Struthio camelus: one gene and its partners. The protein of the gene in region 3 purifies or fractionates together with the protein of the main gene of each other region. This does not show direct contact. Links are inferred from orthologs where the notes say so. Each region holds a gene or a part of one and is shown on either strand. Other genes may lie near its edges.

Evidence for each region.
Region 1: the proteins of USP46 (region 3) and PHLPP2 purify together in Homo sapiens (affinity purification with mass spectrometry; 4 studies listed by BioGRID and IntAct, counting the BioPlex papers as one, with this or other methods). This does not show direct contact. The link is inferred for Struthio camelus from reciprocal best matches to the Homo sapiens genes USP46 and PHLPP2.
Region 2: the proteins of USP46 (region 3) and DMWD purify together in Homo sapiens (affinity purification with mass spectrometry; 5 studies listed by BioGRID and IntAct, counting the BioPlex papers as one, with this or other methods). This does not show direct contact. The link is inferred for Struthio camelus from reciprocal best matches to the Homo sapiens genes USP46 and DMWD.

Annotation. Positions count from the first base shown.
Region 1 is NC_090951.1:392,248-399,762, forward strand, and holds the start of PHLPP2 (PH domain leucine-rich repeat-containing protein phosphatase 2), read right to left. Parts: upstream 3,008-7,515; coding exon 2,879-3,007; intron 2,564-2,878; coding exon 2,319-2,563; intron 902-2,318; exon of another isoform or gene 756-901; coding exon of another isoform or gene 739-755; intron 1-738. UniProt on the Homo sapiens protein: Protein phosphatase involved in regulation of Akt and PKC signaling.
Region 2 is NC_090957.1:1,761,281-1,768,186, reverse strand, and holds the start of DMWD (dystrophia myotonica WD repeat-containing protein), read right to left. Parts: upstream 3,011-6,906; 5' UTR 2,967-3,010; coding exon 2,832-2,966; intron 1,215-2,831; coding exon 1,032-1,214; intron 382-1,031; coding exon 1-381. Other genes in the region: SYMPK (symplekin), read right to left, coding at 4,639-4,809, 4,924-5,166, 5,994-6,083. UniProt on the Homo sapiens protein: Regulator of the deubiquitinating USP12/DMWD/WDR48 complex. Functions as a cofactor that promotes USP12 enzymatic activity.
Region 3 is NC_090945.1:57,620,177-57,628,227, reverse strand, and holds the start of USP46 (ubiquitin carboxyl-terminal hydrolase 46), read right to left. Parts: upstream 3,092-8,051; 5' UTR 2,550-3,091; coding exon of another isoform or gene 2,514-2,549; intron 1,447-2,513; 5' UTR 1,406-1,446; coding exon 1,325-1,405; intron 1-1,324. UniProt on the Homo sapiens protein: Deubiquitinating enzyme that plays a role in behavior, possibly by regulating GABA action. May act by mediating the deubiquitination of GAD1/GAD67.

The DNA of each region.
Region 1 (7,515 bases), on a different chromosome or scaffold from region 3:
AACAACCCATTATACCCGCATCCGTATCGCATACTGGCCGCTTCCACTGAGTGGGAGAGGCAGCTCTGTTAGGCAAACGTGCAAGTGGTAAGAAGACAGAAGCAAAGCCAAAACGAAGCAGCAACAATTTCACAATTCCCACTGCACGTGTAGCTCTTCTTCACTGGTAACAATCAGTTTTCAAACCTTCTTAAGTAGAAGTTTTGTAGCGATGGGTATCCAGACCAAAGAAGGTATCCATGCTATTTTTGTCTAATCCTCCCCTCTGCAGGAAGGGATATTTTTGAATAGGAAAGGATGCTAACAGAAAGATTCTAGCAAGGAAAACCTTGAAGATCCTTGACTTGCACTGTGAAGAATAAGACAAAATTCTGTCAGAAACCGACTCCACTGCATACATACTTAGAAGGGAACTGCAGAAAGATCACAAGGACACTACTGAATATTTAAAGCAAATACATGAAGAAGAAGTTTTCTGTTATTCTTCCATTTGCTGTCCAGGTAGCATTCAGTCAGGTACCACACCATATGATCCTTTGCCATACTCAGGTTTTGACAGAAAGTCACCTACTGAGATTAAAAGGGTGGAGAATTCAGAAGCTATTTGGGAGACTAACACACTCATGGAAAAATGCAATCAGATGCTTGATTGAGCAATCTGTATTCACAAACACGTTATTAAAGTAATCAGCAAACTTTGTGCAAGGAAGGAATTATCTCAGCAGAGCATGAGGATACCTTGAGCATTTTGTCATCTTCCTGTGGAAATGCAAGCAGGTACCATTTGGGCATGCTTCCGGTTATCAACAGAGATTGAAGCAACACTGGTAACTCCCATTTGTCTACTGAGAACACCTCAAACGGGAAGTAATTTAGGGATCCCTCTTGTGGCAAATATATTCTGAGAATTACAAAGGCAACAGACATGCAAGAATCAAAAACTCTCCATCAAACTCAAGATAAAGCTTGACAAATTGCTAGACGCACCATGAAGCAACAAGTTTACGAGTGGGAATTAACCAGGTTTACAACTTGGTGTTTGCTTCCAGAACATTGGTGGCAGGACCAATTTGTCAATCCAGTGCAAAGCTGGCCACAAATCAAAGACAGGCACTGCTATCTAGCGCAAAAAGAGAGATATACATTCAGCCAGTCTTCCTGCGATCGGCAGTAAGGGGTCAATGCTTTCTTCTAAATGCTCTCTCTATTCTCTGCAATGGTACAGAGCAAGCTAATTTCCTTATAAATACTTCAGTCAATGAATGGAGATTTTCAGCTGCCTCCATGGCTCCACTCAAGTGTCTGTCTATCCTCATCTAACGGCTTTCTAACTGACCTATCTCCGTTTCCTATAACCCAGACACGACAAGACAAACAGGTCTAAATACCATTTTCAACGGTCAGTTTTAATTGCATCCTATTCTCCACATCTCTTGCCTCTCGCACCCCCCCTATCTGATCAAACATACGTGATATGTTTTCTATCCTTGGACCCGTACAACATACGATTTTCATTTCAATTTCTGGAAGCCAGATACTGCTCCTGTTCAGCTCGTGATGTCAATCTCTACCGCCTAGTCTTTAGTAACAGGATCATAGTGCATTTTTTTTGTGAGGAAAGAGGAGCAGCAACTTTATAACTGAATTTTAAGTCCAGAAGAATCAATGCAAAGTCTAAATTCTAACATCCCTAATGGGTGCTTGTAAACCTAGAGGAGTCCATAATACACTCAGCATAAAGTTCGCACACATTAAACCCTATGCCAAGGTCTATTTTCAACCTGCAGACATAAAATGCATGACCTGAAGCATAAGCTTTCTTTATATAACCCTTATGCTACCTCTGTGTCTACTTTTAATTGTTATTTACCTTGCAATTCATTTTAAGAAGATATTTTTAGCCAAAAAATTACTAACATATAAACATTATTAGACATAACTGTCAAAGTACTATACCTGTTTTACTGACTCAGAATAATCGCTTACAGCCTCTTAACCGGCTTACGTTTTATTGATTTTAAAACAGCACTAAGACAAACGATAATAAAGAAGTACATGAACAGTAACCTCTACCTACAAAATACGGATCTATTTCTGGTTGGAGAGCCAGTCAGCCCCTCCCAGCTAAAATACCTATGGCTTGACTAAGATGTGCAAAAGGCTCACCACGACCTTGCTTTATGAACTGCAGTACTCTGGGCCACCTCTGTCTGTTCCATATCAACCCTGATGACATATGTAGGCATACAACAAGCAGAGAGCCCTGCATGTTACAGCACATATTCCTCAAAGCAGAGCTATGCTTCCTCAGCCCTCACCTGACCAGGTCTCCATGAAGCTGCAGAAAGAGGTTTTCCCTCTCTTCTCCATCGCATATCTCAGATACCGGGGTGTCCACCGTACAAAGGACCAAGCGCAAGTCAGAGGAAGCAGTAACTGCAGAATCTCCTCCATAAACGTATACGCAGCCTCGTCCAACGTCCTCTCTCAGCCAGTCCCTCTCACGGGAACCAAACCGACTCCTGTTCAAGCAGCTTCTGCTCCCATTGCGCTTCACGTTTCTCTGCCAAGGGAGCAAAACAAGACCGTTAGGTGCTACCTCGGCTGCTCTCCCCCTCCGGCAGGCGTGCCGCCCCGGACCCGCCGGGGGGCCCCGCCGCCCCCTCCGCCCGGCCGCGCTCGCAGCCAGGCGGGGCTGCAGGCCGCCGCCGCCCCCCCCGGCCCGGCCCGGCCCGGCAAGGTCGAGACGGGCAGCGCCGCCGCCCCCCCGGCCCGGCCCGGCCCGGCCCGGCCCCCACCCGACCCCCGGCCTCGCCCGGCTGCCGCCAAGGGCGGCGCGGCGGGGGCGGCCGCCGGAGGGTCCCGGCCCCGGCCCCACCTTCAGCACCCGGATGCCGCCGCGGGGCCCCGCCCGGCCCCCTCCTCGCGCGCCGCCAGGCGCCGCCGCCGCCGCCTCCTCGGGCTCCGGCGGCGCCCTGGGCCCCGGCCCCGGCCCGGCCTCCCCCATCACTGGCCGGACGGCGAGACCTCGGCCGGCGGCGGCGGCGGCGGACCGGCCCCGCGCAGGCCCCGCCCCGGAAGCACGCGGGCTTCCGTCGCCCCGTCCCGCCCCGCCGCGGGGGGGGGGGGGGGGCCGGACCGGGAGGGCGGCGGAACCAGACGAGGGGGGACCGCACCGCACCGCGAGGGGGAGGGGAGCGGGACCGGACCGGATCGAACCGGACCGGACCGGACCGGACCGGGGGTGGGGGAGCCGGAACCGGACCGGACCGGGGGTGGGGGGGGAGCGGGACCGGACCGGGCCGGACCGGGGGGGGGGGGAGCGGAACCGGACCGGGCCGGACCGGACCGGACCGGGGGGGGGAGGGGGGGCGGAACCGGACCGGGCCGGACCGGACCAGACCGGACCGGACCGGGGGAGGGGGGGGGAGCGGGACCGGACGGGGGGGGGGGGCGCTCGCAGCACCCCGCGCTGCACCAAGAGCGAAGGTTTCCGACAGCGTCGCCGGCCCCTTCTCGTTCTCCCCCCTCCTCTCCCGGCCTCAGCACTTCCTTCCGTCCCCCCCTTCCCGGGGCACTGACGTTCAAAAGGCCAAAAACCGATCAAGACCCCCAGAATAATTCAGAATAGGCTTCGAAGCTTAGCAAGTGTCCATTTTTACTCCATTTAACACAGCTAAAACACACAAATTAATGTATTAAGAATCATTCAACAACCAAACTGTGACCCTAGAATTTTTCACTAAGATTATAGATTCGGATTTTCCATTATTTTAATTGCCTGGAATTAAAGCAGGTATCTTCTGTATTTCAAAATTAGCATTAAACTGGAGACATTCCAGAAAAATTTGTAAAGTCAGCACATGAGGACTGTGACATTAGCCGACCAAAAATAACTTGCTCGGGATATTTTTGCAATTTCGCTAATGCAAGTTATACAGCTATTTCTTAAGAAGGGAAAGAGGTAGGAATTACTTACGAACCAGGTAAGGAAAGAAGATAAAAGCTTACCTGTATTTTGTAGAACCGTCTATCACAAGATTTTGGGTGCTCACCTCCCAAGTGTCTGTTACCAGTCACTCAAAGTTTCACATCTAAGTGGATGAAGCCTTACTCAGACAAGCAATAGCAAAACCCGTGTTCCTGCCTCCCATGGCTGAAGTTACATAGCAGAGCATCTGAAAATCTTCTTCCTGCAATTGCTGTCCATCACATCAGCACCAGGCAGTCTTAACTATTACATGCTAATTTTCACTGCTATGCTGTTTTAGCAGACTGAAAAGAATGCTTTGAGGCGGGTATTGTTCATTCCCGCACAAGGTCAAGCATTTAAAAAACAAGGTAACAAAAGCCTCCTGCCTTCTCCATAATCACCAGTGTTTCCAAACTTTAACAAAGACACAAGTCAAACACCCTCACGACAAGTCCGCTCTCAAGAGAGCATCTGGGCTCAATCTTAAGTCATCATCACAATTCTTTCCCGATACATTGACTTCCGGTCTAATTTCAGAGTTAACTCCAGATGTGCTTTCCAAATTATGTGTCCCTACTGGCATTATTACTGTGCCAAACGCTCTCTTAGTTCTAATACATTTCCTTTAAAAAGTTCCTGCCATCTTCCTGGGCTGTCAAAGAATCAGGATTGCAGGCGTATGTGTTGCGTACACTCTGAAAGTGCACAGCACTGCCCGTGCAGTATTTTCAGGGCTAAGGCTAGACTCACAGGGATAACTGGGTCAGCATTGTCCTGATGGAAGGAATGACAAGGAAATGCTTCTGAACAATCTGTCCCGCTCCAGAACTAGGACCTGTGACGAGTGACTTCTTGATGCCATGCAAACTGGCAGTTTTAGATACCATATCTAAATGCTCAGGTGAGTATCTGGAGGAATATGGAACTGACAGACAACTCATCCCATCACTGTAGTTAAGTGCAGTCCTAGCCACTTTTTATTAATTCATGTCATTAGCCAAGGCAGTCACAGAAAAGGCCATCTAGTTCTTAACACCTCCATACTACATAAATAAGCTGAAAAGCTTGGGGGGAAAAAAAATCAAATCCATTTTTCACGGAGCTTTCCCTACAGAAAGGTAGAATTATAATGGATTTTAGCTACAGCATTATAGCAATAGTATAGCAATAGTTCTGTAACTATTTTGCCTCAAGAGAATTTCCATAAAGGATGGACACATGGCAATACAGAGGCTATCACATTTTGCAGAAGGAAGTGCAATTGTGTGCCGGAGCGCACACGAGAAGATTGTCTAATGCAATGTTACTGCAACTAGAAAACACGGAAGAACTCAGAGCAGGCACTTATATTGCTTTAATGGATAATGGGATTACAGCAGTCTTCATCCTAGAGGCATACAGAATATGAAAAGAGGCTTTTTAATTAGTGAGGGAATCAACTCCAAGGACAGGCTGCAGATACAGGAAAGTTTTTCTTATGTTCAATTCTCATCACATCTTTCTAGCACCTGGACGTGTATTGCTGCCTCTAGCTGACAAGCTCTCTTTTAGAAGGATATTTCACATCACTTGTTTAATAATTTTTCATAATTGTCAGCACTCATTTTGCTCTTTAAGCTTCCCAGAAAACTTTGAAAAATCTGCACTACCTTCTTGCTTATTATTTCACATTGTCCGACCTTGTTATGGCCAACTGTAAGAACAAAAAAGGCCTATCCCCCTGTACTTGCAAAAAGCAACAAGGCACAGCTTTTAAATCATTGAATATTGACTCATTTTATTGTTAGTCACTTCGTAATTTGTTTCAACCAAAAGACAATACACACAGCAGAAGTCTAATGCATCCCATGTAAATGTTTACATCCGTTATGCTCCTCACTCACCTAAGACTTAGCAATTATTTAAATTTTTCACATCTCAAAAATAAGTCTGCAGAAGTTAGAACACCACCAGGCTCCCTGCTCCAATGGCATGTTCATTTTTTTTTAATTTTTTTATTTTTTAAATATACTGTGAAGGAGGTGGGATGGGGATTCATGTAAAATGCAAATTACAACGTCAGGAAAGAAAAAGGACTATACAGGAATAGAGTGAAAGTTCACAGAGGGAAGCAGTCCCATAGCTTCTTCCCTCACAGCCCCCAAGTAGAAAATGAACACATAGAAAGCGCACCAGCAGGTCTAAAAAAAGCCATCTTTGCTGCTCCATCTTGCAGCCAGTACCAGCCCTGGGGAAGGGACTGAAGCACCTGTGCCAGCTGTTTCAGCATCTTCTGAGTTAAAGATCCATGGTCCTGTATAGGTGGCAGCCCCCTCACTGCTATTGCTTCAAAAAGTTGTTCAAGGCCATATTTTGTCCCTTCCAAAGCTGGACAAAGTCAAATCTTAAGACCTTCCCATGTCTCCTCCCCCTTCAGGTCCAATATGGCCACTAATCTTTTTGCCATCTCTTGGCTCAAAAGACAATACATTCACTTGAAAAAAAACATTCAACCTCTCCCAGCTAAAAAGTCTCCAATGCAGATATAAATAAGATTAGCCATGAAGTCTGTATCTTGCTCCCTGTATGTCCCCCTTACCTTAAAGCAAGGAGCAGGTTGAGCAGACTGATAAAAACTCTTGCATTCTGCTGGTGGAATAAAGACTGAACGCACTCTGTCCTCAGAGCGCTTCACGAGGTGGACAAGCGAGTACTCTCCAGCGACAAAACAAAGAAGCAGCACAGAGGCTAAGAGATGTACCAAGGGTCAAGGAGCAAGCAAAGGGATCTGGCATTGAAGATAGGGGAAAGTGTGAAACCCAGCCTTCATTTTGGGATAACGTTAGCACCCTATCCCTTAGCAAGAGAAAGGGAAAGAGTTCCAAGGACAACAGGAATGTTCAGCCGCCACAAGGGAGTACTTCAAAGCCAAGGGACGGCTTCAAGCAGAATACCCTTCAGGTACATGCACCATCTCCTTTAGCCTGACTCAGAAATATGACAGGCAGAATAACCTCACAACACACACTTCTGCACAAAGGTGGTTGGAGAAGCCAAGAACAGAAGAGGAACTTATCCGCAAAAAGCTTACCAGACCAACTACAAAATTCACCTGCTCTAGCAGACAGAAAACAAGTGCAACAAGAGGGACAAGATACTCTGCTCCCAACTATGCTGCAACAAGTTGGCCAGGAGAGAGACCATTTACTTCTTTTTCCCCCTCATCTAATCCTACTGTAGCAGTGATGCTCTTGACAAAAAGGAACAGAGACTGAGTACAGTCTTCAGTACAAGTGACCACATGCAAATCTCTGAGGAGAATGAGGGAGCTCATGGGGCTTTCAGGAACTAAGGCACAGACTTTCCATTAGCTCAGTATCATATCTGGGACACCCTCAGAGCTCATTAGTCTAGATTCCACATGCTCAGTTTGTGATGCTAAGGAGTTTGAGCTAGTGGGGTGATGAATAAACACAACTGCAGTTGAAATAACAAGAGTGGATGCTCAGCACCCAAGAATGGACTCCGATTTGGTCATTTTGTACATGACTGCCTGTTTCACT
Region 2 (6,906 bases), on a different chromosome or scaffold from region 3:
GCTCCAGCAGACGCACAGCAGCCCCCCGAAATAGCTCTTCATCATGCCCTGCAGCAGCATGGAGTCGAAGTGGAAGACGCGGAGGCAGCCGTCCTGGCTGACGCAGGCCAGGTAGCGGCCGTCGGGCGAGAAGGCGAACTCGTTGAGGGCGCCCTCGCCCACCGCCCACTTCACCAGCGGGTTGCGGGCGCTCTTGCTCTTGCAGGCGAAGACGCTGAAGCCCTCGCCCTGCTTGAGCAGGCTGTACTGGGGGGGCGCCGAGCCGCAGGGGTGCTCCACGTTGTACAGGTAGAGGTGGCCGCTGGCGTGCGAGGCCAGGAAGAGGCTCTCCGTCTCCGGGATCCACTTGAGGAAGGTGACTTTCGTCTTGTCGATGAGTCGCTGGGGGCAGAGCGGGGGGCACAGCACGGGGAGGGAATCGCGGTCGGCGGCTTCTCGCGAGGTGGGTTTTTCCCCCCCCCCCCCCCCCCCCACCTTCCCTCCCTCTGGATCATCCCGGCTGCGTCGCGTCAGCCCCGAGGCGCGGAGGGCACGCCGGGGAAGCCCTCTGCCGCCCTGCCGAGCCGTGAACGCTCTTCAAGGGGGTCTCGGAGCTGCGCCGGGCTCCGGAGGGACGCCGGAGCCTCGCCAAACGCACGCCCCGAGCCTCCTCGAGCAGCCCGAAACGAAGCCGCACGCGACCGCGGACAGAGTTTGTCTGTCCGTCCCCCTCGGCACCTTTCCTGGAAAAACAGCCGTAACCGCAGGAAATAATTTGGATGTTTGACGGCTCCCTGGCCCCGCTATCGCTCTTCGCGGGAAGCGAATCTGCTCCCGAGGGAGAACATAGCTTTGTCCAACGCAAAAAAAGGTCGTAGCGACACCAGCTAGCGACTGAGGCAGCGACGTCCGTGTCCCGCAGCTCCGTAACGCCGTTCCGGGCCGGGAAAGGAGGCGGAAAGGACGGGACCGCGTAACTTAGGTCCCCTCCAAGGCACGCGGCAGCCTGGCCGTTAACGCGAGGTGGGGGAAAAAAGGGGGGGGGGTCTCACCTCCTCGTTAAAGAGCTTGCTCGTGTCCTTCTTGACGAGGTCGAGGTACTGCACCTGCCCGGCCGAGAAGCCCACCAGGAGGGAGATGCTGTCGGAGGCGGCGGTGAATTGGTTGAAGTCGTGGCAGGTGGGCTGGGTGCCTTTGTAAATGCGCTTGTCGATGGGCTTGTTGAGGTCGAGGGACTGCGGGCGCGATGGCACTGTCACCGCAGCCCCGCTCGCCCTGCCGGGGCCGCCCCCTACCCCCCACCCCGGGGCGGGCGCCCGAAAGCTTTGACAGAAAGAGCAGCCCTCCGAGAGCGTCTCCTCGATTCGGGAGAGAGCAGGAACGTGCCAGCACCCCAAAAAAATCCTCCCCCCCCCGCCATAGCAAATGGGAGAACCCATTCTGGGCTCCCAAATCAGTCTCCCCTCCGCTCGCATCCGCCCCGAGGTTCCTGCTTTCCCGTTACCATCTCTTGCTCCTGGGGTGTCCCCCTTCCCAGCCGAATCCCAGCCCCAAAATCACCCCCGTCCCCCTGTCACCGGCTCGCTCCCCCCTCCTGTCACCCCCCCCTCCAAGCTTTACCGGTGCCCTGTTCCCTGTCGCAGTCCCGGGGCTCCCGCTATCCCCCGTTCGCTCCGCTCCTCGTCCGTCCGCTACTTTATTTCCCCGAATCCCGTCCTCCTCGTCACCCGCTATCGCTGCCTGTCACTGGCCCTGGCAGCCCTGTTACCAGCCGGCTACTGCAACCGCCGAGCCCGGTGCCCCCGTTACCGGCCCCGGTGCCATTACTCACCGGCTACTACACCAGCCGGACCCGGTAGCCCCATTACCGGCCCCTTCCCAGGCCTGGTAGCCCCGTTACTACCCCCCCCCCATCTCCTGTCCCCTCCCGGTACTGCCGTTACCCACCAGCTCCCAGCCCAGCTGGGCACAGTATTGCCATTAACTGCCGGCTCCTGCCGCCGCCACCCCCGTTACCCCCCTCCCCCTAAAACCCCAGTGCCCCCGTTACCCCCCTCACAGAACCCCGGGGCACCCGTTACTGAGCCCCCCAAACCCCAGGGCCCCCGTTACCCCCCCCAGGGCCCCCGTTACCCCCCTCACAAAACCCCAGGGCCCCCGTTACCGAGCCCCCCAAACCCCAGGGCCCCCGTTACCCCCCTCACAAAACCCCGGGGCCCCCGTTACCGAGCCCCCCAAACCCCAGGGCCCCCGTTACCCCCCCCCCCAGTGCCCCCGTTACTCCCCTCACAAAACCCCGGGGCCCCCGTCACACCCCCCCAAAACACCAGGGCCCCCGTTACCGAGCCCCCCAAACCCCGGGGCCCCCGTCACCCCCCCAGTGCCCCCGTTACCGAGCCCCCCAAATCCAGGGGCCCCCGTTACCCCACCCAGTGCCCCCGTCACCCCCCCCAAAACCCAGGGGCCCCCGTTACCCCCCCCAGTGCCCCCGTTACCCCCCTCACAAAACCCCAGGGCCCCCGTTACCAGGCCCCCCAAACCCAGGGGCCCCCGTTACCCCCCCCAAAACCCCGGGGCCCCCGTTACCGAGCCCCCCAAACCCAGGGGCCCCCGTTACCCCCCCCAGGGCCCCCGTTACCGAGCCCCCCAAACCCAGGGGCCCCCGTTACCCCCCCCCAAAACCCCGGGGCCCCTGTTACCGAGCCCCCCAAACCCAGGGGCCCCCGTTACCCCCCCCAGGGCCCCCGTTACCCCCCCCAAAACCCCGGGGCCCCCGTTACCGAGCCCCCCAAACCCAAGGGCCCCCGTTACCCCCCCCGCAGTGCCCCCGTCGCCCGCCCGCCCGCCGTTACCCGCCGGCTCCCGCGCCCGCCGGGCCCGGTGCCCCCGTAGAAGTAGAGCTCGCGGCCCAGGTTGAAGCAGACGCGGCTCCGCTCGGCGGCCTCGCTCGGCTCCTCGGCGGCGGCGGGCAGGGCGAGCCGCACCATGGAGAGCCGCACGGGGGGCAGCGCGGCGGCGGGGCCCGGCGCGGCGGCGGCGGCGGCGGCAGGGCCGGGGGGCGGCACGGCGGCGGCGGGCGGGGAAGGCCCCGGGGCGGCGGCGGCGGCGGCAGGGCCGGCGCGGGCCCGCGGTTCGGGTCCCGGCGGTGCCAGGAGCCGGTAGGAGCCCTCGCGGGTGCGGAACTGGCTCTTGAGCTCGTGCGGCTGCGCCGGGAGCGCCGCGGGCCCGTCCGCCGCCGCCCCGGGGCCTCCCGCCGCCGCCGCCATCTTCCCGCCGGAAGGCGTCGCCCGCCCGGCCGGAAGCGAGCCCCGCCCTTAGCAACCGCCTCCCTAGCAACGCGCTGAGTCACGCGAGCCCCGCCCCCCCGGCGGGAGGCGGGGACAGGAGAGGACACGCCCCCTGCGGGCGGGGCGCGACCTGGCTGGGGGGCGGGGCCAAAGGGGGGGTGGGGCCGGGGAGGGCAGAGGTGACGTGGGGGGACTCGGGGAGGGCTGGGGGGTAATGGGGGGGGGGGCCATTGGGTGCTATGGGGGGGCTGGGGAGTAATGGGGGGGGCCTTCGGGTGCTATGGGGGGGGACAGAGGTGCCATGGAGGGACCCGGGGGGGGGCAGAGGTGCCATGGGGGGGCTGGGGGGTAATGAGGGGGGCCATTGGGTGCTATGGGGGGGGCAGAGGTGCCATGGGGGGGGCCATTGGGTGCTATAGGGGGGCTGGGGGGTAATGGGGGGGGCCTTCGGGTGCTATGGGGGGGGGACAGAGGTGCCATGGAGGGACCCGGGGGGGGGCAGAGGTGCCATGGGGGGGCTGGGGGGTAATGAGGGGGGCCATTGGGTGCTATGGGGGGGGCAGAGGTGCCATGGGGGGGGCCATTGGGTGCTATAGGGGGGCTGGGGGGTAATGGGGGCTATTGGGTGCTATGGGGGCCAGAGGTGACATGGGGGGACTGGGGGAGGGGCTGGGGGGTAATGGGGGCCATTGGGTGCTATGGGGGGGCAGAGGTGCCATGGAGGGGTGGAGGGTAACAGAGGGGCCATTGGGTGCTATGGGGGGGGCAAAGACGCCTTGGTGGGACCCGGGGGGGCTGGGGGATAATGGAGGGGCTATCGGGTGCTATGGGGGGCTGGGGGTAATGGGGGGGCCAGAGGTGCCATGGGGGGACTCAGGGGTCCTGTGGGTGCCATGGGGGGGCCCAGAGTGCCATAGAGGGAACTGGGGGGAGGGGGCTGTTGGTGCCATGGGGCAGCATGGGGGGCCCAGGGGGCCTATGGGTGGTATGAGGAGGCCAGAGGTGCCATGGGGGGCCTGGGGGGGTCAGGAGAGGGTCTTGTGGGTGCTGCAGGGGGAACCTCTAAGGTAGTGGGGGGGGGCAGGGGGCAGTGGGGGTCCCTGAGGGTGCTATGGGGGAAGCAGAGGTGCCAAGGGGGGCCCAGGGGGTACCATGGGGGTCCCCGGGGGGAAGTGGGGGGGGGCACTCAGGGTGCCACAGGGAGAGTGTCCCATGGGCGGGGGGCACCCCAGATCCCTCACCTCAGGGTGCCCCCCACCCCAAAACCAGACGAGGCGCCGAGGGGCTGCTCTCACACCTTTTATTTAGAAAAGTCCCCCCCACGGGGTGGCGGGGTGGGGGCACCCTCACCCCGGCACCCACCCCCACCGGCTCAGCCCTCCGCCGGCCCCTCGGGTGCCTCAGGGCCCCCCTGGGGTGCCTCGGGGGCTGGGAGGTCGGGGGGCTGGGTGCCGGGGGGGGGCGGCTCCGCGGAGGGGCTGCCGGCCGCCCCGTCCTCTGGGGGGGTCCCCGCTTGCGGCACCTCCGCGCCCTTGGGGGGCTCCTGGAGAAGACGAGGGGGGATTAGAGACACCCAAAGGTGTGTGGGGGGGGAGGGGGTAACAACAGCACCCTACTGGGTGCTACTAGGTTTGGGGGGGAGGGGGGGGGTCCGTACCTTGGCGGGTGCTGGGGAGGGGTCGAGGCCGGCGTCGAGCAGGGAGCCGTCGCCCCCCGAGCTCTCCTCATCCTCCTGCACGCTGATGAAGATGGGGGGGGGCTCGAGGTCGGCCCCCTCGTCGCGGAAGTCGGGGGGCTCCTCGGCGCTGGGGGGGGGTGGGCGCCCCGGCGCCGATCCCCCCCCGGGGGCCGCCCCCTTCGCTGCCGCCTCCTCCTCGCCCGGGCGCTTGGCACCCTTGTCCTGTGGGGGGGGGGGCAGGGGGAAGGGAAATGGGGTGCTTGAGCCAGCGGCACCCCAAAGCCCCAGGGCAGGGTATGGGGGTGCTCAGTACCCCCCCCAGTCTCCCTGACCTTGGCTCTGGCACCCTGGGGTGGATATGGAGGTCCCCAAGACCCCCTCAGGGCACCCCATCTTGGCTCTGACACCCCAAGATCGATATGGGGGGGCTCAGGGCCCCCCCCCACCTCCGCTCTGGGTTGGGCAGAGGGGTGCATGCTGACCCCAACTTCAGGTCTGACACCCTGGGAGGGGTATTGGGAGACCCACGGCCCCCCCACTCAGCTCCAACACCCCTGAGATGAGTATTGGGGTGCCCAGGGCCCCCCTAGACTCCCCCACCTCAGATCAGGCCCCCCCTAGATGGGTATTGGGGTGCTCAGAGCCCCCCCACCCAGCTCCAACACCCTTGAGATGGGTATTGGGGTGCTCAGGGCCCCCCTAGACTCCCCCACCTCAGATCAGGCCCCCCCTAGATGGGTATTGGGGTGCTCAGGACCCCCCCACCCAGCTCCAACACCCCTGAGATGGGTATTGGGGTGCTCAGGGCCCCCCTAGACTCCCCCATCTCAGATCAGGCCCCCCCTAGACCGGTATTAGGGTGCTCAGGACCCCCTCAGAGCCCCCTGGTCCCCCCCGCCTTGCCCCTACGTACTGGGATGCTCAAGGACACCCTAACCCCCCCCACCTCAGCCTCAGCACTACCATCACCCCAACCCCCCATTGGGGGGCACGGGGTGCACAGTGCCCCCCCCCCAGCACCCCAGGGTGCAGCACCCCACCCCGCTCACCTCCTCGGGAGGCTGCGGGTCCTTGGCCTCGGGCTCCTGCTTGGTGCTGGCCTCCAGGATGGCCATGGTGGAGAGCGGCACGTGGGCTTGCTGGGGGGCAGAGGGGGACAGGGTGAGCGGGGCACCCCAAGGCGCTCCGGGAGCCGCTCACGCCAACCCCGCGGGGCCCAGGGGCGCGCCGGGAGCCGCTCACGCCAACCCCAGAGGCCCCCGGGGCGCGCCGGGAGCCGCTCACGCCAACCCCGCGGGGCCCCGGGGCGCGCCGGGAGCCGCTCACGCCAACCCCAGAGATCCCCGGGGCGCGCCGGGAGCTGCTCACGCCAACCCCAGAGATCCCCGGGGCGCGCCGGGAGCCGCTCACGCCAACCCCGCGGGGCCCCGGGGCGCGCCGGGAGCCGCTCACGCCAACCCCAGAGGGCCCCGGGGCGCGCCGGGAGCCGCTCACGCCAACCCCAGAGATCCCCGGGGCGCGCCGGGAGCCGCTCACGCCAACCCCGCGGGGCCCCGGGGCGCGCCGGGAGCCGCTCACGCCAACCCCAGAGATCCCCGGGGCGCGCCGGGAGCCGCTCACGCCAACCCCAGAGATCCCCGGGGCGCGCCGGGAGCCGCTCACGCCAACCCCGCGGGGCCCCGGGGCGCGCCGGGAGCCGCTCACGCCAACCCCGCGGGGCCCAGGGGCGCGCCGGGAGCCGCTCACGCCAACCCCAGAGATCCCCGGGGCGCGCCGGGAGCCGCTCACGCCAACCCCAGAGATCCCCGGGGCGCGCCGGGAGCCGCTCACGCCAACCCCGCGGGGCCCAGGGGCGCGCCGGGAGCCGCTCACGCCAACCCCGCGGCTCCCAAGGCGCGCCGGGAGCCGCTCACGCCAACCCCACAGGTCCCCGGGGCGCGCCGGGAGCTGCTCACGCCAACC
Region 3 (8,051 bases):
TAGTTCAGTTCTTCAAGCACTGAGGTATAGTACAGGAACAAGATCTGGGAATTAATACCTTTGTCTGGTAGATTTCTGCAGGTGCCCTAAATCAAACTAGCACTGCAAATATACAGTTTTTATTTATTTATATTGTTTGCTTATATATCTCTAACCTTGCAAAGTCCCATTCTTATGCAATGTTGTCATAACTCCTTCTAGAGTCCTTCGAGTCCAAATCCGCAGGAGCCCCCCACCTCATCTAAATGGACTCATTTATAGAGGAGCCATGATGCAGCGCTACCAATACCTACCTATAACTTTCTGAAAATCTCAGCTTTGCTCTTCCTAAAAGTACTTCCTGTCTCCGTCTCTATTGTTATGTGGAAAAGACTAAATGTGACCAGCATAACACAAAATCTCTAAAAGCAAACTATGCAAAGCCCAAGGAATACGTAGCTTTAGAACCTCATTATTGTTAAACCAGTGTCACCCACTGTCACCAGTACTGATATCATAAGCCAGAATTGCCTTGAGTTTTTCTGCCTGAGATTCTTAATTCTTCCCTTTAGTGTCACCATGCTACTCAGTGTCTCAGATGCTACTTTTCTTTTGCAAGATACACTATTAGTGTCTGAGTGGCACACCATCAAAATCATGTCATTGGTTTTGCTCTGGGTCTGTTCAGGCCTTGGGACAAATATGCTGTACATAAAGTGCATCTCTCTGAAGCATGCAAGAGAGAAATCTTGGAGGTTGTAACACCTTATGCCAATGTTAACGTCTTACAACCATCAAAGAGTCTCCAGCTCCCCTTCATGCAGTGCTCTAGGAAGCGTTTTGCAGAGCATTACACCTACCATTCATCAGCAATAAAAACTGGAGCCTGCCTAAAAGGGAAGGTAAGTGAGTCCAGGTTTTCTCCTCTGTACAGTACTGTTACCTAAAGCCTTTTTTGCAGTATCCTTGGCCCATTGGCTCACAGGACTGAAACCTATCAAGAACAATGAAAAGTTTAGAGAACCGCTTACTGTTAGTGAAGAAAGCTGAGAACCCAGGTTATTTTACCCCAAGGAGTCTGGATTTATTTTTCTTACTGTAAGCGCAAATCCAGCCCTCCCTCTCTGCACGTCAGAGCAGTCGTTTTGAAGGAAGGACTGAGGTATATGTCAGAACTATGTGCAGGATGCTCTAGGCATCTGGGTGGAAACGAAAAAGCAATCCCACTGAAGTGGGAGCCTGCAGACATGGAAGGGGAGGAGGCTGACAGTTCGTGCCCCCCACCCCCAGGCCACTGCTGCTGACCCCGCAGGAGCCAGGCCTCTGGGGCTGTGCGTTGCCTTACCCTAGAGGTAGGCTCCATTCTCCAGGGCAGATGAATGGTATGTGTGGCATCGCCAGCACAGGGCATGCTGGGGCACCACATGGAGGGAAGCTGGCAACTGCATGTAGCTGCTCTTGAAGAACCTGGAAATAAGGGGGAAAAATACAGACTAAAACAACAAAATGCGTGGAAACGGGCTCCTCCTCTGTTTGCACTGGGGTACTTAGCACTCACCCACGCCTAGGACAAATTAGCTACTGTCTCACTGTATTAATAAACCCCTTCGACAGGCATACTTTAAGTTCTCCCTTCCCTCACCAAAAAGTTTTAAAAATCCAAAACCAGTCAGATGCTCCAGGTTTGTAGAGTCGGGATTAAAATTAGACTCAAGCACACAGAAGAAACTGTCCTTTCAACTTCTCCTGGGGATGAAAGTGGCAAAGTCTCAACCTAAACAAAATATTAACATTTCATTATTCCTTCCTAATTGTCTAGTTTATGATTAAAGAAAGCTCAGTGCTTCCAGGGTACTTTACAAACAGCAGGTCCTTTGAGTGGCATGCAGTGCAAAAGAAACCCTGAAGTTAACTCTAAAGCCAAGATTTCCCAGAACAGGTACTTAGCAGCTGGATCCGAAAGCCTACAGTCACGCATCTAAACCAGCGTCCTCATTGTCTGTGTAACCCAGGGAGCTCCTGGCCACATGAGACCACAGGGTGCCTGCCTGGGAGGGTTAACTGGGGCCACTGAGTTAATGAGGATGTGGATTCAGAGCCGAACTTTACGGTTCTCTCGCAACATTTTTCGGGCAGGAGGAGGAAGGGCAGGCTGCGGCTCCGGCTGCAAGGCGTGTGAGCCGGGGCCAGGCCGGGGCCAGGCCGGGGCCAGCCCGCTCCGGACCGCCTGCGCGCCGAGGCTCCGCGCACCGGCCCGGCATCCCCGTCCCTCCCCGCCCCGCTCCTGGCGCTGCTCCGGCAAACTCCTGGGGACACCGCCGCTCCCCGGCGGCGAGCTGCACCCCGGGCTCGTCCCGGCGCAGCCCGCCCGCCTCCCCTGCCACCGGGGCCGGGATGCGGTCGCTTCCTTTGCCCGGCGCCCCTGGAGGGAGCCCCCCGGCCGCCCCTCCGCCGGCCCCAGCAGGGCCTACCCAGGAGGGGCTGCCGTGCCGCCCCCCGCCCCCGGGCCGCCACGCCTGCCCCCAAGCACTCACCATATTACAGATGGAGGCGATGTTTCTGACAGTCATTAGTCTAAAGGTTGCAGCGATCCCACACCGCCATCTTTATAAGGTGAAACCAGCCCCGCTCATGGTGGGAAGAGCGCAGGAAGGGAGAGGGGGCGGCGGAGGAGGCTTCTGCTCCGGGGCTGGGATAAAAGCGAGAGGAGGGGACTGCACAGGCACCCTAGGCGCCCGCAGAGCAGCCTGGAGGAAGGACCTGCCTGCCTCCCCTCCGGCCGAGCGACCGGCAGCTTCAGCAGCGCGGCAAGAGCAGCCGCATCTCTGCTCCTTCCGCCTCTCCCTCTGCACGGTCCGCAGGGCCGCGGGCTCCCGCTGGAGCGCTCAGCCGCGCCTCTGCGCCAGCCGGCACCGCGCTAATCTCTCCCTTCCTCCTCCTCCTCCTCCTCGCCTGGCGGCTGCCGTTGCTGCTCGTCGCTCCATTGCAGCGCAGCGCCCAGCGATCCGCTCTGCCAGCGCCAGCGAAGGGACGGGAAGGGACGGCCGGCGGTGACCGGCCGGGGCGCCCCGCGGGCCCGGCCGCCGCCGCAGCCAATGCGCTGCGGGGAGGAGAGGGGCGCGGGGGCCGCTCCTGCCGCCCCGCACGGCCCGTCGAGGGGCCGGGCCCTGCTGCCGGCGTGCTGCCGCGGGGGCACCGGGGCAACGCTAACCGCCAGGCCTAGAAGGGCCGGGGAACTGCAAAACCCAGATCTCTTTAAATATATGAAATCATATTTGCAAGAAGGAGCAGAAGGCAGGGTCCAGGCAGGAACACATGGATGTTTAAGGGTGGTAGCAGCACTGTACCTTGGGATGTGCTCCCTCCACCTAACTTTAGGTACGCAGGAGCCTGGGCACTTCTAAATCCCAGAACTGAAGGCAGGAATCTAACTTACTGCCTACAGCTGGTGCTTTGCTTTGCGATTTATGCAGACATTTACTTTCACAAATGTTGTTTAGGGAACATGACCCCCCACATCATGATACATACTAGAGCCCAAGTGCTCACTCACAAGCTCACAATGCCTGGAACATATACAACACCCTTAATGCATTAATCTCAGTTCATCTTCAAAACACTCAAGTAAATTGAGGTCCATGCCATTCTGCAAGGTATGAGTATATTAAAACTGCACATGCAATAATCTGCACATGTGGTAAACAAGGATGTTAAATAGCTAACTCTTGTCTTAACAACAAATCTCTGAGAGAAACAAGAACAGAGTTCAGCTAGGACAATGTCTCATCTTGGAATTCCTCTCTGCTTGAGCGGAGATTGTTGTTATCAGCAGAAACTTAAGAACACTGTATTTTCATCTCCTATGCTGAGGAAATCATCCAGATGAAGAGAGAGAAGAACTGCCAACATCTAGGGATCTAGGAGATGGGCATGCCTCCTCCTAACAACACCTGGAAATATGGCATACTCATGCTTGGCTACACTTTTCACCTCACAATGCTAGAATATACACATTTTGGTCTATAGAGCCCGGCCCCACATGTTAATTACAGAAAACATTCCAAAGTCACTAAAGTTTTTGAGACCCTGGATTGCAAGAGAAGGCCTCTGACTGTTAATGAAAATCTATCACCAGCCAGCAACATCTGAAAGATGAATTCTTAGCCCGAGAATACTGTTAGATAGCTGGCCTCAGTCCAGTTCATCATGGACAAGTGCCCACATTACAAAAATGATATCAGTTTGGCATTAGTTGGCATCCTGTTGACAGTTTCAGCAAAGAAACCCAGAACTGAGTTGTTATGGAGACACAACTTTCTTTCCTCAGTAACTGGAAGACAATATGGAGGAACCTGTACTTCTAACACCTCTCTTGAAGATTTGTTGTAGGCAATGGACTGAAGTCATAAGGTCTATTAAACTATTTCACTGCGAAGCATTTGCTCCCTAAATCTACAAATTTGCTACATAAAAGAATTATCAAATAAAGTAACAGTGAGAAAAAAAACCCATCCTTTGTGTTACTCTATTATGCTCATGGTCTTATGCTGCTTATGAATTTGACCCCAAGTGTTTAACCTGCTTAAACTCCAAGGGCTGTTTATGAGTAGTATCACAAGTCTTTTTGAAACAACCAAGAGAAATGGGAATTAAAACAGAGATGTCATTTCAGGACTGGCCACCCCCAGGCTCAATTCTGAAGCAATCAAGGCCTGAATCAGTCTCCAGTGCATTTCAGAACAGCCTATGGAGACAGACAATGCTGCACCATGGCTATTTTTTTAAAAAAATCCCTTTTATTCAGGTAGCCTAATTCTGTATTCTTTGCTGCACCCCATTTATTCCAATTTACTGCAAGGAATCACACTTGTCTCAGTGAAAAAAATTACAAAGCAAATGAATGGTTTTGAAGGGTGATTAAAAACTGAAAAGAAACAAAATGCGGTAACTAATAAAGCCATTTACTTCAAGTATATTCTAATGTGAAGGATATTATTCCCAGAGCATAAAACACAAAGAAAACACAACAAGAAGGAGCATAAAAAAGTTTAAAAAAGGTAAGCAGCATTTTCATGCTTTTGCTTTCTTGCGGATCCCAATTACCTGACTTCAGGATAACTTCAGATGTTTGTTAAACATTTCTGTTAAATTAAACAAATTGCTATTAGTTGAGCAAGTTATTGATTGTCCAAGGAAATGGCCATTGTTGGAAATAGGCATATTTCGAAATATAAAGCATATACATATATATGTACACACACATATATAGATGCATATAGATATACACGCATGCACATATCATCCTCAGAAGATTTCAATGTCATTTTCCTAAAGCTTATATAGAGTCTTTCATTTAAGGGTATACATATTTCATATCTTCTTTTGGAGGATTTATGATAAAAATAGGAAATAATACACAAGTGTTTATATGCCAGTTTAACAATAAGTTTAGCACTGACTTTTTCTGCTCTTCAGTCACAGATCAAACTAGGAAATAGAAAAGTAACTTTCATACTTGAAATGGGTTGGTGTGTGTTTTGTTTTTTTCTGGTGTTGTCATTTTCAGAACTAGAAACTTTATTTCTGTAGCTTTTTGAAGATAAAGTGCTAAGAAAAGCAACTAATGCTAGTTCCTAACATTATAGGAACTGTACAAATAAAGAACAATGAATAATTGTTTCCACTCCAAAGTATTACCCTATCTCTTCATAACAAAGAGCTAACCCTGTGTTTCTTTTCAATGTTAAACAAAGAGGAGGAAAACAAAGAGCTATTTATAACCTAAGAATGCTTATATAATTTCTGTTGAAAGGTCAAAAAATGTCTCCCGCATTTACTTTTAGAAGTAAATCAGTTTTGGTCATCTGGTTATATCCTTTAACACTTTTATTTCACTACATAAAACAAGCACCTATGGTAAATATCCTCTTTGGCTAACCGTGCTTTGGACTTTAATAATGTATTCCCTCTGAAGTTCTGAGAGTACTTTGCAATCATTCACTCAGCCTTGTCAAATTCCTGGGTGGCAAGTTAATATTAGCCTATTTTACAAAACAAGAAAATAAGCAGCAGAAGTGCAGTGACTTGTCCAAAGTTACACAGGAAAGTTAGTAGCAAAACTGGGATTAGAATACATGCTTACTCTGTAATACAAAGAGGGTACTATGCTTCCTCTTCAGAAATCTTAGAGAATTCCACAGAGGATTCATTTACATTTTTATTGTAATAAACTATGGTCCAGAAACAGGTGACCATCAGTAAATTATGCTAAGCAGTGCTTGAAACAGACTCAAATTCAGGATATATTTTCAGGTTTAAAAAAAGCTGAAGTGGCTTTAATGGTAAGAGCAATTAAAACAATACTCAGAAGCTTTTTGGAGGGGGTGGGGGATTTGGAGGATACATAGTAAGAATGGAAAAAGAACTCAAATACCTGAATTACATTATCAGTACTGAAAGTATGCTTACAATTTTAGAAACTTTTAATATTTTGAATATCACATTATTTATGTTCAATAAAAATTATCAGTATGTCTTTGTTAGGATGAAAAATACGCAGATGATGCAAGCAGAAAGACTAAGAACAGATACATAGCATAGAACACTGAGGCTACAATTTCTAAATTTTATTTCAGTTGAGGAGAGGAAACTTTAGCAACACATACTCTTCTTAAAGTGTAGAATTTTTATTTTTGAAACAGAAAGGTATCCGGTATTCCTGCAAACTAATACAATCAAATTATATGCTATATAAATACTGGGCCAAATCTATTTGGCCTTACTCTATCTGCATAACACTATTTCCATTTTCAGTATAGTCCACCATTAATTTCAGCAGAGAAATAGTCCTGAAATCAGCTCTCAGGACCCTGCTCTTAGTTCTCCCAAAGTAATACCAACTCTGATAAGTAGAGACTATTTAAAAGTTAAACAATTGTGCTTTCCTATGGAAAAAGCCAGGAAGCAGAGAAGACAGTAGTAAATCCTGTGCTAATCCCTTTCTGATTTTACCAGTGGATATTTTCCATGAAGCTTGGCCTCCATTGCAGCACTGCAGATTGGGAGCTTTACTACAATGCCAGTTCCCAATTTGTAGTCCATGCAGAGAGGCCATAATACATGGGTTGTAGTAGGTCCATGGAACCCACTGTACTTACATTTAAAAATCTAATGGTAAGAGTGGATTGTAGTCCATGACAAATTGATGGTGATCCACAAAAAAAAAAAAAAACCCACAAACAAACGTGGGGGGTTTACTGGGGACTCCCTAGTCCTCCCAGAAATGTAGAATCACTAATCTTCTTTAGGATGGTATCAGCTTTGCACCAGCATCTACCCCTCTTTTTCAAACGATCTAAAAAGTTATTTTTCTTGATTTAAAACATGTTTATGCTTTTTCTTCACCTTTACAATCTTAGCAAGTCATACTCCCGCTTACTGAATATGAAGCACAGAGGATGAAACTTTGCATTAAATTCATGCCTGTATCTACCCTAGCTTTGTTGATACAGACATTATTCTAGTAGGTGGAGAAAGAATACTGTCTTTTATTTTTCTTCTTCTCAGAAATTGCTATTTTAAAGAAAGAAAACAAAATACAGTTATAGCATCCGACTTTTTTTATAGTTAAATGTCAGATTTGAACACCAAAAGACAGCAGAACAAAGTAGATGTAAATATATTGATGTCTAATACTCCAAAAGCTGGCTGAATAGATAAAAGAGATTAATAGTTTTGTGTTTGTAACCATTAAACAGTTCATTCTATGAACAGGCTCTTTAGGCCTTTACAGGCAATTTGATGTTCAATAATGACCTAGAGGTGTGATTATCTCACAACGTCTTACTCCTGCTTTTTTCCTCCTACTTGATCATGTTTCATAAAATTGCATTCCCGATATAAATTAGGAGCTTTGACAACAACAGCTTAATATTGGGCTACAGCTTCATTGATTTACCTAATACTGACCTTTACTGACACACTGCTCAGCTGAAAATTCTCCCTCATTTCCATAAGGTAGAAGCTTGCAGCCTCTTTATTATCTGGTACCTTGTTTAGCAAGGAAGTTCACT